2 linked regions of the Macaca fascicularis genome follow. The protein of the gene in region 2 interacts with the protein of the main gene of each other region in a pairwise test. Links are inferred from orthologs where the notes say so. Each region holds a gene or a part of one and is shown on either strand. Other genes may lie near its edges. The genes, in order: ISCU and HPRT1.

Region 1 (4,601 bases), on a different chromosome or scaffold from region 2:
CATCATCTAGAATGATCTATAATTCCCAATTTGAAGAATTAATATAATCAACATCTGTATAGCAGAAACTTTAAAAATTCAGAATATTAAAAAAAAGTTATGGTTGTTTTTGACCCATTAGACCCGTCAAGAGACAGGCTTGGGGTGAATGCAATTTCATTCTGTCAGATTTGTGAGCAACCTTACCGTCTTTCCTTTCACCCATTCAGTGGCTAATGAGCTGGAGGCAATTGCAGAACCACAGCCAAATGTTTTAAACCTAGCATCCACAATTTTCCCCTTTTCATCCACTTGAATCTAGAAAAGAGACAAGAGTTAAGTGGTGAGTCCTAGGACCACCCTCTGGAACTTGGCACTCACGAAGGTTCATTGGGGCCTTCCCCAAGGGCTTTGGGCTTGCTTTCCATACTAAGTGATGGTATTAATTACTGATTTTGCCTTGTTTCAGAGAGCTCAGTGATGAAAAGTGAAATGCAGGGACAATTATCCAGGCCCAACTGACAAAGATCAGCTGGAAAATATGTTCCTCCACCCCAATATTATTTTGTTTTGCGACTCTGGCTTGCATTTTGGCTATGAACTTCTATTTGAGGCAGTCTGCTCACAGCTGCTGGGGCAATCTGCCTCTTAAACACTGAGAGAGTACACAATAAAGGTCTCTGGTTAATACTTTTTTCTTGGGCAGCAGATTATACTTAGTGGTTTCCTCCTGTTTTGTTTCTGTATTCCAAGATAGGTATGAAGATCTCTGGCAAGCTGCCCACTCACCATGAAGCAGCAGATTGGCGCTACAACAACAGTTTACCCAAAGCACTAGACACTATCTTCATGTTGCTCCCAATCTGGGGACAGGTTTAATTTACTGTGTTTCTTATCTCATTGGGGACTGCTAGCTCACTGGGATTTTCCTTTGATCAGTAAAATTCACAAAACTCTTTCGTTGGCTGAAGTTGGAATTTAAACTTATACAGTGAGTACAAAAATGAGATTACTTTTCTATTTCGGAAAAAGTCGGCATAGTACACTAGCCTGGCAGGAGAGCTACGATTGAGGCCCTGTTCCAATCACGTCTAACATGGACTCATCCCATCTCACAGGAATAAAGATGGAGACCGAGTGAAATGCTGTATGTGCAAGTGCTTTGTAAACTTAAAGGGATTATTGTTATCACTATTAAAGACTAGCCATACCTGTAATTTCATTACGTCACCACATGCTGGAGCCCCCACCAGTCCAGTTCCAACATTTTTAGATGTCTTGTCAAGGGACCCCACGTTTCTAGGATTTTCATAATGATCAACAACCTAAAATGAGAGGGTTAAGATAAATCGTGTTCACTCTCTATTGGTGCTGGTCTCTGGTATGGTGGCAAGCTCCTGGAAGTCAGCATCTTGAACCTGGCAGGCAATCACCAAATTTCACCTGAGTAGAAAGGTCTACACTCATGTCAGTGAGAACCATTTGTGACCCCCAATTCCTTTTGTGTCTCCTCTACAACTACTTCACAGATTAGCGACACCTAGAAGAAAAAAATATCAGTGAAATCATGTCTTAATTCCATAGGGTTTTTACAAAAATACTTGACTTTTACCCACCTACATCACCAGACTTGGGCTCAAACAGCAGTTTTGTTATTTTCAAATAAAAACTATCCTCAAAGGATGATTACTATTTAAAAATTCTAAAAATAACTATGGCCCAGGAAGGGAAAACTTTTAGAAGCCTTAAGGTGACTGTTACACAGAGAACAATGCTATGGAATGTGTACGTTTATGTGTCTTTCAAAATAAAAACAGTGCCATTACCGTATTTCAGAGCCTGTCATCACCCTGGTGCAGCAGCGCACCCTGGCTGCTGAAAGGCTGCTAGTCCAAGTTTCCTCGGGGTGTACCCTCAACGAAACACACCGCCGGGAGGGGGAGGAGTGAAGAAGCCCTTGGAGAAAGGGCAGAGGCCAGATCAGAATCAACATCCATTCGAACTGGCACACAGAAGGCCTTAATGTGGTTACTGGTTAGTAGTAAGCACCCCGATCTTCCAGTCCCCTTTTCCTCCCCATCTGACTAAGGATTTTGACTCCAAGTAAAGGCCCCTATAGGATAGTATCTAACGGAGGGACTTTTTGTGCCACGTTGATTTATGGCATTCTTTGTTTCTAGAGTGGGAGTCTCACGTCTGGGGGACTTTGCGTCACCAGACAGCAAGGGGCTGCAAACTATGCATCTATCCCTCCTTCCCCGCCAAAAAAAAACCCCCAAAACAAAACAAAAACACTACGCATGTTGGTTACAAGCCTGACTCCCCTATGCACTCCTAAAGCAGTAACAGAAACGGTCTCCTCGTGCTGGGGCCTATGTGCCAGGAACCATGACAGGACTCCATGCACAGTATCCTTTGTAAGAGACAGCTGAGAGTCCTCATTTACACCTGGGGAAACAAGTTCAGAGAGGCGCAGTGACTAGCGCAAGGTCATCTAGCCAGGGCAGCAGCGTGGCTGAAGCCGGAGCCCGCTCCGGGGGTGTGTCTGTCCCTGGACTCTAAAAGACAAGTCCCAACAGGACCCTGCCTCCTGGGCTGTTGGCGAATTTAAAGTTGGGACGCACGAAGTCGCGGCCAGCGGCGGGGCCCCCTGGAAGTCGCAGCCCGATGAGCGGTAACTGTTGTTTATCAGTTGCAGTGAGCCTCACTGCGCAGCAAGGGAAAGTGAGTCAGGGCAAAGACGTGGGAGGCGACAGCTAGTCCTGGCTGCGTAGAACCCCGCGGCCGCCGCTCCAGCCCAGGCCTCCCCCGAGTCGGCATTCCGCGTGTCCCCTCGTTTGTCCCTACCTTCTTGTGATAGAGTCGGGCCGGGGCCGATAGCTCCCGGGCGGGCAGGCGGGGGCTCCGGAGCAGCAGAGCCGACGCTGCCCGCCTCAGACGGCCAGCTCCAGCTGCCGCCATCTTGCCGGCTTGCGCCTGCGCCAGTCCAGAGCGATGCCGAGGGGCGGGGCGCGTCTGCGAGTCGGCGCCGAGCTGGGAGCGCGCCTCTCTGGCGTCACCGAGGCTTTGCGCCTGCGCCTTACCGTTCCGTGCAAGCCTCCGCCCTGTGGCCCCGCCTTGACCACGCCTCTCGGGGGCGGGCGGGGTCGGGAGCGGGAAGGTCTGAAGTCGCTAGAGGGCTTGTCCTGGGTGCTGGATTCTGGTTGAGAGAGGATCTCAGGCTTCTGCAGTGTGGGAATGCGGCGCAGAGGACCACTGAGTCCACTTTTCCTAACCCTATTTTGCAGCTAAGGAAGCTGAGATTCAGGGCAGTTTGGTCACTCCGTCCAAGGTCGCTTAGGGCTTAGGTTCAACTAGAATTCGAACTTGGGTAGTCCTGGGTTAGAATCCTGGTTCGGTTCCTTCCTGGCTGTGTGTCCCTAGACAAATGGTACCGGCTTGCTAAGTCTGAATCTTCCTTTTTGTATTAATTCGAGGACAATTCCTTCATCATGAAGCCAGCATCTGTGTTGAGTACCTACTATGTGTCAAGGCACTCTACTAGACCCGGGGATCCAACAGAAAGCAAAACAGACGTAATTCCTGCCCATTAAGCTTGCTAATGAGGGAGCAAGGTAGAGATAGAGACACACTCCAGTACTTGCCTACCTCAACAATGGGAAGCTTAAGAAGGAAACGAACACCATGTCCTGATTGAAAAAAAATGAGTATATGTCTATTTTTCTCTCTGAAACAACAGCAAATTCAATTTATATGTCGGTGCCTAGCAATTAAGAATTTCTAAAGAAATGCGTATTTACTGTTGGTTTGCAGTATGTGAGCTTATAAAACCGGAAAACTCAAGTGTATTTAACGCCTCCTAGGTACCAGATGTTTACATAAAGGGGAAGAATTTCTTTGGGAAATGGATTTTTCTCTTGAATGGTGAAATCGATCCTTCCCCGAGGACCTGCAGTTTTCTTTGCGTTTGAGGTGCAGTTGCTGGGGAGACTAAACCCAAGCGCCAGGTCACACTAGGCGATAAGTAAGGTATTTTTTCTAAGAATCACTTTGACCTTCTCAAGATGGCGCCAAATTCTTTACTACAGACACCACGCTCGCTTCATGACTTCCTCTATGGCCTCCACTTCCTGCCCAAAGACCCAACTTCTGTCCGAAGTTGTGACGGAACGTATGCCATGATAATGAGTTTTTTCTCTGGTGGGAGTTTTTACAGGGGTATAAAATAAAATGAATTTAGTGTATTTGGAGATTTTCTCGTTATCTAAGGTTCCCAGTTTCCCTTTCAGTGTCAAGAAAACGGGCTTTTGATAAGGCGCGCGCCGCGGGCAGCTTCTGCCTCAGCGGGTCTTCGGCGGCCGCGGGAAGACCCGAGAGTCATTAGAAGCGCAAGATGGCGACTGCGGCCGCAACCTCGGCTTCAGAACCCGAGGCTGAGTCCAAGGCTGGGCCCAAGGCTGACGGAGAGGAGGATGAGGTTAAGGCGGCGAGGACAAGAAGGAAGGTGTTATCGCGGGCTGTGGCCGCTGCGACATACAAGACCGTGGGGCCAGGGTGGGATCAGCAGGAGGAAGGCGTGAGCGAGAGCGATGGGGATGAGTACGCCATGGCTTCCTCCGCGG
Region 2 (3,814 bases):
AATTAACCAATCAATCAATAACTTTTGTTGAGTAAAAGTCTAAATTTTGTGTTTAAACAAGTCTTTAACTCAAGCAAGACTTTAACAAGTTAAAAGGAGCTTATGGGTAGGAAGTAATGTTATGATGTATGGGCATAAAGGGTTTTAATGAGATAGGGAAAATGTCTATAATAATACTTAAATGGCTGCCCAATCACCTACAGGACTGATGTAAACATGGAAAAGGTCAAAAACTTGGGTCACTCAAATAGATGATTAATGGAGAGGATGAGGTTGAAGGTTAAATGTAGATAAGTGGTCTTACTCTCAATAAAAATGTGAACATAAGGCGAGTTTCTACAAAGATGGACAAGACTCATTCATGAAACAGCAAAAGCTGGACATTTGTTCTCATCTTTGAAGAGTATGAAAAATTCCTATTTTAAAGGAAAATAGTAACTCACAGGAAATACCAACCCAACATAAAATCAGAAACAATAGTCTAAAGTAATAAAAATCAAACATCTGCACTATCAAATTATGAATGAAATTCACTTGTAAAGATCACACTGATTTTGTTTCATCCACAGTGTCAACGTTGTGATGCATTTCAATTGTGTGACACAGGCAGAGTGACTGTGGATCAAAAGCAGTTTCTGGTATACCCATACTCTCTCGGGTATACCTGCACTCCCCTTTCTTAAGTGTGTTTAAAAAAAAAAGTGGTTTCTTCAATTTGCCAATGCTCTAGCTCTCCATGTGCTTTCTAGGAAACAAGTGTTGACCCACCTTATTTGTCAAACCTAGCTCCAAAGGACTTTTGACTCCCCCCAAACCAATGTAGCTCAAGAGATGATATCTGCCACTAGTGAGTATGTATAGTGAAAACAGCATCCCAAGTCCCAACAGCAATTCCTAAAAGAAGTTTATTAAAAAAAAAAAAATACCTGTAAAATAAGTACATATCCTCCAAGGTGACTAATTTTAAAAAGACAGTATTGGCTTTGATGTAAACTACTAGTGAATATGTTAGAAAAATCTCACTGTAACCAAGTGAAATGAATGCCAGTATAGTTTGCAGAGATTCAAAGAAAATATAAGAAAACCTACTGTTACCATTAAAAAGAATCATATATTAAATATACTCACACAATAGCTCTTCAGTCTGATAAAATCTACAGTCATAGGAATGGATCTATCACTATTTCTATTCAGTGCTTTGATGTAATCCAGCAGGTCAGCAAAGAATTTATAGCCCCCCTTGAGCACACAGAGGGCTACAATGTGATGGCCTCCCATCTCCTTCATCACATCTCGAGCAAGACGTTCAGTCCTACAGAAATAAAATCGGGAATTTAATAGAAAGTTTCATACGTTAAACTTTATAACAAACACCTCTTAGTCACTAAACTTCCACACCAGCCTGGAAATTAGCCAGGCATGGTAGTATGTACTTGCAGTCCCAGCTACTCGAGAGGTGAGGTGGGAAAATCACTTTATTGCAGGATGTTGAGGCTGGAGTGAACTGTGATTGTGCCACTGCATTCTAGCCTGGACAACAAAGCAAGACCTTGTCTCAAAAAAATGCATTAAAAATTTTTAAAAATCTTCCAAGTAACACATCCTTTGCCCCCATGTTTCATAAGGTAAAAAATTTGATACCTTCAAAAAAACCAAGCATACCACTATCATAATTTTTTTTTAATGCATATAAAAACAAGATATAATTTTCACCCATTAGACTGGCAGGTTCTGATTAAATGAAATTTCTTGGATAATATACAATATTAAAAGAGACTGTAGAAACCGGGCCAGTGGCTCACGCCTATAATCCCAGCACTTTGGGAGGCTGAGGTGGGCCAGATCACTTGAACCCAGGAGTTCAAGACCAGCCTGGGTAACAAGGCGAACCCTATTTCTACAAAATAAAAATAGTAGCTGGCAGTGGTGGCGCACACCTATAGTCCCAGCTACTCAGGAGGCTGAGGTGGGAGGATCGCTTGAACCCAGGAGGTTGGGACTGCAGTGAGCTGTGATCATTCTGCTACACTCCAGCCTGGGCAACAGAGACCTTGTCTTTAAAAAAAAAAAAAAAAAAGGCCGGGCGCGGTGGCTCAAGCCTGTAATCCCAGCACTTTGGGAGGCCGAGACGGGCGGATCACGAGGTCAGGAGTTCGAGACCATCCTGGCTAACACGGTGAAACCCCGTCTCTACTAAAAAATACAAAAAACTAGCCGGGCGAGGTGGCGGGCGCCTGTAGTCCCGGCTACTCGGGAGGCTGAGGCAGGAGAATGGCGTAAAAACCCGGGAGGCGGAGCTTGCAGTGAGCTGAGATCCGGCCACTGCACTCCAGCGAGACTCCGTCTCAAAAAAAAAAAAAAAAAAAAAGAGACAAATTGTGAGGAAAAAGGCACTCTCATATAACATCAGGAGTATAAAATGATTCAGTTTCTTAGAGGATAATTTGGCAATACCGAAATATTCAATAAACTCTTTCCCCCTGACCAGAATTTCCACTTGAATAAAGCTGAACAAATACCAAACATGTAAAAGAATGTTTCTTCTAGTACAGTTTGTAAGAACAAGATAGTGTCTATCAATAGTGAACTGGTTAAATCAGTTATGGTATCTCCATAAGATGGAATGCTATGCAACCTTTAAAATATATTAGATAGCTCTAGATGCACTGATATTAAAAGTGTCCAATAACATTTAAAACTATACTCATATGTTAAAATATAAATATATATATGCATAGTTAGAATATTTTGTAACACAAATATTTTGATATTATAATTTTAAAATAAAAACACAGAATAGCCAGACATACAAGGCAAGCATTCAATACCAGGTAAGGTTTTTCACTGTAATTGACTTAACGGAAAATTTTCAAGCTAGATGTGCATAATAATAAAAATCTGACTTTGCCTTCATGTGATTCAGCCCCAGCCCATTATCCTGTTTAGAACTGAGAAATGCAAGACTCTGGCTAGAGTTCCTTCTTCCATCTCCCTTCAATGTTTACTTTGTTCTGGTCCCTACAGAGTCCCACTATACCACAACTGATACTAAGTAATTAGTAAGGCCCTCCTCTCTTTTTTTAATAAAGAATATTTTAACAATAGAAAGCATCTATTATTTAATAAGTTGGCCTAGTTTATGTTCAAATAGCAAGTACTCAGTTGCTGACATTTGAAATTAACATAAGAAAAAGTAAAAAACCTCATTTTAAGATCTTACTTACCTGTCCATAATTAGTCCATGAGGAATAAACACCCTTTCCAAATCCTCAGCATAATGATTAGGTATGCAGAATAAATCAAGGTCATAACCTGGTTCATCATCACTAATCTGAAAAAGAAATATAGCTGTTTCAATGAGAGCATTATGGGATACAAACATTTGATTGGATTTAGATGTTAAAAAATAACCTTAGTCTATCAGAGAAATTTGAATATAAGATGGTATTAGTAACTGTTAACTTTGTAGGTATTATAATGAATTATATAAGAAAACAACAGGCCAGGCGCGTTGGTTCACACCTGTAATCCCAGCACTTTGGGAGGCTGAGGCAGGCAGACTGCCTGAGCTCAGGAGTTCGAGACCAGCCTTGGCAACATGGCAAAATCCCATCTTTACTAAAAATACAAAAAACTTAGCCGGGTGTGGTGACACATGCCTGTAGTACCAGCTACTTGGGAGGCTGAGGCAGGAGAATCACTTGAACCTGGGAGATGAAGGTTGCAGTGAGCCAAGAATAATGCACCACTTCACTCCAGCCTGGGAAACAGAGCAAGACTCTGTCTCAAAAACAAACAAACAAACAAACAAAAA

Evidence for each region.
Region 1: the proteins of HPRT1 (region 2) and ISCU interact in binary tests that used the Homo sapiens proteins (3 or more experiments, as listed by UniProt). The two-hybrid records come from large-scale screens. The link is inferred for Macaca fascicularis from reciprocal best matches to the Homo sapiens genes HPRT1 and ISCU.

What each region holds. Positions count from the first base shown.
Region 1 is NC_088385.1:115,395,012-115,399,612, reverse strand, and holds the start of ISCU (iron-sulfur cluster assembly enzyme ISCU), read right to left. Parts: upstream 2,968-4,601; 5' UTR 2,941-2,967; coding exon 2,827-2,940; intron 1,936-2,826; exon of another isoform or gene 1,305-1,935; coding exon 1,191-1,304; intron 298-1,190; coding exon 187-297; intron 1-186. Other genes in the region: SART3 (squamous cell carcinoma antigen recognized by T-cells 3), read left to right, coding at 4,373-4,601.
Region 2 is NC_088395.1:140,745,496-140,749,309, reverse strand, and holds part of HPRT1 (hypoxanthine-guanine phosphoribosyltransferase), read right to left. Parts: intron 3,332-3,814; coding exon 3,225-3,331; intron 1,313-3,224; coding exon 1,129-1,312; intron 1-1,128. UniProt on the Homo sapiens protein: Converts guanine to guanosine monophosphate, and hypoxanthine to inosine monophosphate. Transfers the 5-phosphoribosyl group from 5-phosphoribosylpyrophosphate onto the purine.